Saccharomyces cerevisiae S288C: one gene and its partner. The protein of the gene in region 1 purifies or fractionates together with the protein of each later gene. This does not show direct contact. Each region holds a gene or a part of one and is shown on either strand. Other genes may lie near its edges.

Evidence for each region.
Region 2: the proteins of DPH6 (region 1) and MDE1 purify together in Saccharomyces cerevisiae (affinity purification with mass spectrometry, with the first as the bait; one large-scale study listed by BioGRID). This does not show direct contact.

The regions. Positions count from the first base shown.
Region 1 is NC_001144.5:425,532-430,133, forward strand, and holds DPH6 (diphthine--ammonia ligase), read left to right. Parts: upstream 1-1,797; coding exon 1,798-3,855; downstream 3,856-4,602. Other genes in the region: PUT1 (proline dehydrogenase), read left to right, coding at 1-1,085; ACF2 (endo-1,3(4)-beta-glucanase), read right to left, coding at 4,146-4,602. UniProt on the Saccharomyces cerevisiae protein: Amidase that catalyzes the last step of diphthamide biosynthesis using ammonium and ATP. Diphthamide biosynthesis consists in the conversion of an L-histidine residue in the translation elongation factor eEF-2 (EFT1 or EFT2) to diphthamide.
Region 2 is NC_001142.9:469,700-473,043, reverse strand, and holds MDE1 (methylthioribulose 1-phosphate dehydratase MDE1), read left to right. Parts: upstream 1-2,079; coding exon 2,080-2,814; downstream 2,815-3,344. Other genes in the region: YJR026W (gag protein), read right to left, coding at 1-284; BNA1 (3-hydroxyanthranilate 3,4-dioxygenase), read left to right, coding at 1,373-1,906; U4/U6-U5 snRNP complex subunit LSM8, read right to left, coding at 2,931-3,260. UniProt on the Saccharomyces cerevisiae protein: Catalyzes the dehydration of methylthioribulose-1-phosphate (MTRu-1-P) into 2,3-diketo-5-methylthiopentyl-1-phosphate (DK-MTP-1-P).

The DNA of each region.
Region 1 (4,602 bases):
AGAACTTTAAAGAGGTCATCGAATGCGGCAAACGTCTGCAGAAGAGAGGTATATCGAACATGATGCTTTCATTAACTATTGAAAATTCCGAAGGTACAAAGAGTTTGTCCAGTACTCCAGTAGACCAAATTGTCAAGGAAACAATCAGCTCTGTCCACAACATCCTACTGCCCAATATTATTGGCCAGCTGGAATCTAAGCCAATCAATGACATTGCTCCAGGTTATATCGCTCTAAAACCCTCTGCTTTGGTCGATAACCCTCACGAGGTTCTGTACAATTTCAGTAATCCCGCCTACAAGGCTCAAAGGGATCAGCTGATCGAGAACTGCTCTAAGATTACAAAAGAGATTTTTGAACTAAATCAATCTTTGTTAAAGAAGTACCCTGAAAGAAAGGCCCCATTTATGGTTTCCACTATTGACGCTGAGAAGTATGATTTGCAGGAGAATGGTGTTTACGAATTACAGAGAATCTTATTTCAAAAATTCAATCCCACTTCATCTAAACTGATATCATGTGTCGGTACTTGGCAGTTGTACCTAAGGGACTCTGGTGACCATATTTTGCACGAATTGAAGCTGGCCCAAGAAAACGGCTATAAGCTTGGGCTGAAACTGGTTCGTGGTGCTTATATTCATTCTGAAAAAAACCGTAACCAAATTATCTTTGGCGATAAAACGGGCACTGACGAAAATTACGATCGTATCATCACTCAAGTTGTCAATGATTTAATCATCAATGGCGAGGATTCTTATTTTGGTCACTTGGTTGTCGCCTCTCATAATTACCAATCCCAAATGCTCGTTACTAATTTGCTAAAATCTACCCAAGACAACTCTTATGCCAAATCGAACATTGTGTTGGGGCAATTACTAGGTATGGCAGATAATGTTACCTATGACCTAATTACCAACCATGGCGCTAAAAACATAATCAAGTATGTCCCATGGGGCCCACCATTGGAAACTAAAGATTATCTTTTGAGAAGATTGCAAGAAAACGGGGATGCTGTGAGATCTGATAATGGCTGGCCATTAATCAAGGCCATAGCAAAGTCGATTCCAAAAAGAGTAGGCCTATGAGAGGACTATAATATATACTCCAATTTCAAAGACAAACCAAAAAACCAAAAAAAAAAAAAAGTATGCATACATAATTCTGATGTTCTAGTTATACATATTATATATAAGTAATGATAATAACACTAATAGTAAAGTAAACGCACGGATATCAAGAGTTAATATACTTGAACCACTTAAATAACAATCTGTTGGTAAAGCTTTCTTCCTATTGATTATGGGTTCGAATAGTACCAGATGTTTTGCCAATCCTAAATCGGTAGGAAAGTGGCTTGTCGTCGTCAGGCTTATTATCAACTCTTATGCACAAGAAAGGTACTCATCTTCTATAAACTACATAAGACCTGAATCTAATCAAAGGGAGAAAGCGCAGAACATCAGATTTAAAGCGGTTTTGCTTGATACACTCAGCCTTGTCTCTTTGTAAGGATTTTGGGGTACCTATGAATAATACATCTAGTAGTGTTAGTAAACCAACGTATGGGATTTTGGGATACATAGTTTTCCAGTGTTTCTTATCCGTGATAGTTTAATGGTCAGAATGGGCGCTTGTCGCGTGCCAGATCGGGGTTCAATTCCCCGTCGCGGAGAATTTTTTTAAGCTTCTATTAAAGAAGCTTTTTTTCACTTATATCTGATGGATGATGAATAGCTAGTTCAAACGGAAATCTTTGATAAAGCTATATCAAAATTCAAAGCCCAATAAGTCAGTATCATGAAGTTTATAGCATTAATATCAGGTGGGAAGGACTCGTTCTACAATATTTTTCACTGCCTGAAGAACAACCATGAATTGATTGCCCTGGGAAATATATACCCAAAAGAATCAGAAGAGCAAGAATTAGACTCTTTCATGTTCCAAACAGTAGGACATGACTTAATAGACTATTATTCTAAATGTATTGGTGTTCCACTATTTAGACGCTCAATATTACGGAACACTTCTAACAACGTCGAGTTGAATTATACTGCTACTCAGGATGATGAAATTGAAGAACTATTTGAACTTCTAAGAACTGTCAAAGATAAAATTCCAGATTTAGAAGCTGTTAGTGTAGGTGCCATCTTATCGTCTTACCAGAGGACCAGAGTGGAAAATGTTTGTTCCAGATTGGGTCTAGTAGTGCTAAGCTATTTATGGCAAAGGGATCAAGCCGAACTAATGGGTGAAATGTGCCTTATGTCCAAGGATGTTAACAATGTTGAAAACGATACTAATTCAGGAAATAAATTTGACGCCAGGATAATCAAGGTGGCAGCAATTGGATTGAACGAGAAACATTTAGGAATGTCCTTGCCTATGATGCAACCGGTGTTACAGAAACTTAACCAACTTTATCAAGTTCATATCTGTGGAGAGGGTGGGGAGTTTGAGACAATGGTCTTGGATGCCCCTTTTTTCCAACATGGATACTTGGAATTAATTGATATTGTCAAATGTAGCGATGGTGAAGTTCACAATGCAAGGTTAAAGGTAAAATTTCAACCGCGTAATTTGAGCAAAAGTTTTTTACTCAACCAATTAGATCAATTACCTGTACCTTCGATTTTTGGTAATAATTGGCAAGATTTAACCCAAAATTTGCCAAAGCAACAAGCTAAAACAGGAGAACAAAGATTTGAAAATCACATGTCGAATGCTCTACCACAAACGACAATCAATAAAACCAATGATAAGTTGTACATCTCTAACCTACAATCACGTAAAAGTGAGACGGTCGAGAAGCAAAGTGAAGATATTTTTACTGAGCTAGCCGACATTCTGCATTCCAACCAGATTCCACGGAATCATATTTTATCTGCGTCATTATTAATTAGAGATATGTCTAATTTCGGAAAAATCAACAAAATATACAATGAATTTTTAGATTTGTCAAAATACGGACCTTTGCCACCATCAAGAGCATGCGTAGGTTCGAAGTGCTTGCCAGAAGATTGTCACGTACAGTTATCAGTTGTTGTTGATGTAAAAAATACAGGCAAAGAAAAAATCAACAAGAATAAGGGCGGACTACATGTTCAAGGCCGTTCATATTGGGCTCCATGTAATATCGGACCATATTCCCAAAGTACTTGGTTAAACGATGATGCAAACCAAGTCAGTTTTATCAGTGGGCAAATCGGACTAGTACCGCAGTCAATGGAAATATTAGGAACACCTCTCACTGACCAAATAGTTTTGGCATTACAACATTTTGATACTTTGTGTGAAACAATAGGAGCTCAAGAAAAGTTACTCATGACATGCTATATTTCAGACGAATCGGTTCTCGACTCTGTCATCAAAACATGGGCGTTTTATTGTTCAAATATGAATCATAGATCAGATCTATGGATGGACAAATCTGATGATGTTGAAAAATGCCTAGTTCTTGTAAAGATTTCTGAATTACCTAGAGGCGCTGTTGCAGAATTTGGTGGTGTTACTTGTAAGAGATTAATAGTGGACGATAATGATTCCGACAAGAAAGAAAGGGAAGAGAATGATGATGTTTCAACCGTATTCCAGAAATTGAATTTGAATATTGAAGGTTTTCATAACACTACAGTTAGTGCGTTTGGATATAATAGAAACTTTATTACGGGATTTGTAGATAGTAGAGAGGAGTTAGAACTTATCTTGGAAAAAACCCCAAAATCAGCCCAGATTACCCTCTATTATAATCCCAAAGAAATCATCACTTTCCACCATCACATTGGATACTATCCGGTGGAGAAACTTTTTGATTACCGTGGTAAAGAACACCGCTTTGGGTTGCATATTCGTTCCTAACTCCAAATGTAGGCCTTATATTTTATAAACTTAATAGATATACGCTGTCCACGCTCCTGGCGGTGTAAATGATAGACAGATCCCAAATATGTTAGCAAATCATAGGAACAACACCATATTGTGAACACGTAAAATTTAGAATACGCCGCACAATTAAGGTGTGTTCTGTAATAATTTGATTATTGATGATGGTTTAGGAACCAATATTCATATAAAAAAATGATCATTCTATAAAATACCTTATCGTAACACTTGTACCATGCTACTAACACTGTATATATTTCTGACCCCTAAGAAAAAGCACCTGAATAAGCTAAAGACCAAGTTAAGCTTTGCCCATTGTCTAGGAAATTTCTGTTGAAATCAGGTTGGCTGAAAAAGTCGTACGAAAATTTTGGATCAAGCAGAGCCATATTTAACATGATTATTCCTTTCCAACCGTCATTCACTTGATCAATTATCGGCTGCATTTTTTCTTCCCACTCCTCTTTGACAAAATTTGGTGTTCTGACCCATGAAGATGCTGATGTTATAGGAATGGCGTGAATCATATGAATGTATTGAGGCTCCATGCCAAAATACGTGGCGTGATCAATTTTATTTTCGAATAAAATACCACTAACTTTATTACCAATAAATTCTTTCGGTTGGACAGTATTATTGCTTTCGTATAGGAAGTAGCTCTGGAAAACATTTCTCATGATGCCGAGTTGTAAGTTCGCTATGTCAGTTAACTTAGAATTTCCA
Region 2 (3,344 bases), on another chromosome or scaffold:
TGGTTTTGGGTCATCATGCACTGCTGTGGGTACGGCCCATTCTGTGGAGGTGGTACTGAAGCAGGTTGAGGAGAGGCATGATGGGGGTTCTCTGGAACAGCTGATGAAGCAGGTGTTGTTGTCTGTTGAGAGTTAGCCTTAGTGGAAGCCTTCTCACATTCTTCTGTTTTGGAAGCTGAAACGTCTAACGGATCTTGATTTGTGTGGACTTCCTTAGAAGTAACCGAAGCACAGGCGCTACCATGAGAAATATGTGAATGTTGAGATAATTGTTGGGATTCCATTGTTGATAAAGGCTATAATATTAGGTATACAGAATATACTAGAAGTTCTCCTCGAGGATATAGGAATCCTCAAAATGGAATCTATATTTCTACATACTAATATTACGATTATTCCTCATTCCGTTTTATATGTTTATATTCATTGATCCTATTACATTATCAATCCTTGCGTTTCAGCTTCCTCTAACTTCGATGACAGCTTCTCATAACTTATGTCATCATCTTAACACCGTATATGATAATATATTGATAATATAACTATTAGTTGATAGACGATAGTGGATTTTTATTCCAACAGCAACATGTTAAAACGAAAGCTGATGTTTGGAAGCCGTCTCGAGTAGGCTATACCGACATATTTTCCCAGGAATATAAAGGAATTGTTGTTGCGATAAAGTTTGTGATCTGTTCTGATGCTGAAGGAACCTTGTACCCGAGAGAGTATAACTCCCGTCTCCATGATGTAAAAAGACTTGGGAGAACAGGACTGTCATTCACAGATAAAAAGGAGGCGTATTTACTCGAATTTAAAAACCAGGACGTTGTAGATCATGTTCATAAGTTAATCTTGCCTTTTAACACATCTTGGCAATCTAACTAGATTCGTCCAATTGTATTTTTACTTCAATAATCTTACATAATAATAAAAATTTTTCTATTTGTCCAAAAAAAAAAAAAATAAATAAAATAAAAAAAGCTACCGTAATTCATGCGTACAGTAACTGGCTTCCTTACTATACCAAGTTTATTCTTTGATTGCGCTGCCAAAATAGCCTGTCAAAATTTGCGCGGATGTATTTTCGACGTCAACGGTGCCATTATTTTTCTGTCACTGACACCTGTACTCCTGAACGGGTATCGGCATTTAGAACGCTGCCTCCAAATGTCTGGTGAACGTTCGTGAATATTCAGAGTGTCGTTATTGCAATGGAATGGCTGCCTTTGTGACGGCGTCAGGATAAATTGTGAGTCACTGAAACATATTCGGCAAAGTAAAAAAACGGACGTAAAAGATTCTTTCTTTATTCTTTTCACGACAGTCTACAAGTAACTGAAATAGCATACATTTACCAAAAAAATCGAAAAAAATGTTTAATACTACACCAATTAATATCGACAAATGGTTGAAGGAGAACGAAGGCCTTTTGAAACCACCGGTGAATAATTATTGCTTACATAAAGGGGGATTCACTGTGATGATTGTCGGTGGGCCTAATGAAAGAACCGGTTATCACATCAATCCAACTCCCGAATGGTTCTATCAAAAAAAAGGATCTATGCTTTTAAAGGTTGTGGATGAGACAGACGCTGAACCAAAGTTCATTGATATCATCATCAATGAAGGCGATTCATATTTATTGCCAGGAAATGTTCCTCACAGTCCTGTTCGGTTTGCTGATACTGTGGGTATTGTTGTGGAACAAGATAGGCCTGGGGGAGAAAACGATAAGATAAGGTGGTACTGTTCTCATTGTCGCCAAGTGGTCCACGAGAGTGAACTGCAAATGTTAGACTTAGGTACCCAAGTGAAAGAAGCCATTTTAGATTTTGAAAATGATGTCGAAAAGAGGACATGTTTCCATTGCAAGACGTTAAACTACGCACGCCCTCAATCTAATTAAGTATTAGAAGAGTTGTTAGTTGTACTTTTATAGCTCTCTTGTTACGTAAGATTGCGGCACTAAGATGCGGTGCCAATTTTTTTTTTTTTTCTCTTGATCAAAGCAGCTAGCTGTTCATCAAGATATGTAACGTTTTTAAGCACTGAACTAACAAGGGGAGCCAGTGAACGACTATGTCTTCACAAGATGTTCTGATACATTCAGATGATCCGTGCCATCCAGCAAATCTCATTTGCACGCTATGCAAGCAGTTTTTTCATAATAATTGGTGCACCGGAACTGGAGGTGGGATTTCAATAAAAGATCCTAACACGAATTATTATTATCTCGCCCCATCTGGGGTGCAGAAGGAGAAGATGATACCTGAGGATTTGTTTGTCATGGACGCTCAGACATTAGAGTATTTGCGCTCTCCCAAGCTTTACAAGCCAAGCGCATGTACTCCATTGTTCTTAGCGTGCTACCAAAAGAAAAATGCAGGTGCTATAATACATACACACTCCCAAAATGCTGTGATATGCTCCTTGCTATTTGGCGATGAGTTCAGGATTGCTAACATCGAACAAATCAAAGCAATTCCAAGCGGAAAGGTGGACCCTGTGACCAAGAAACCCATGGCGCTATCGTTTTTTGATACGCTGAAGATTCCCATCATTGAAAACATGGCGCATGAGGACGAGTTGATCGATGACTTGCACAAGACTTTTAAAGATTATCCAGACACATGCGCCGTAATTGTGAGGAGACATGGCATTTTTGTTTGGGGTCCGACAATCGATAAGGCCAAAATTTTCAACGAAGCCATCGATTATTTGATGGAGCTGGCCATAAAGATGTACCAAATGGGGATTCCTCCCGACTGTGGCATTGGCGAAGAGAAGAAGCATCTGAAGATGGCCAGTCCGTGACGGGTTAATGCTTAAATTTATTGTATGATTTATATACTTCTATACATGGTATTATTATTATTATTATTATTATTATTATTATTATTATTATTATTATTACTATTATTGCAACTATATTATTTTGTCTTTGATTCGTACACTTTTTCCCATATTACATGCTCATTTTCGATTTTATTCTTGGTGTCCTTTAGCATTGGGACCTTCTTTTCGTCTATAGGAGCTAGACTGTCATCATTTTCTGCATCTATGAGGCCAACAAGAGCAATCTCGCTGCCTCGAAGTAACTGTGCCTTGCAGATGAATTCCTTGCTTATGCGGTTGAAAACATTGGTTATGAATAGATTAGTATTTTTGTCGAAGCCGTTTAGGCTTGCTATGAGGCATTCGCCGTCAACTTTGATTATAACAACTCTTTTATTTAAGTAGTCTTTCAAGGTGGCTGACATGGTGCACGATAGTGTGTTCTTCTTGTATGGTGTACTGTATGCAGCTTGCTGGTCCATCTTATAAGAACCACGTAAGATTAGTTT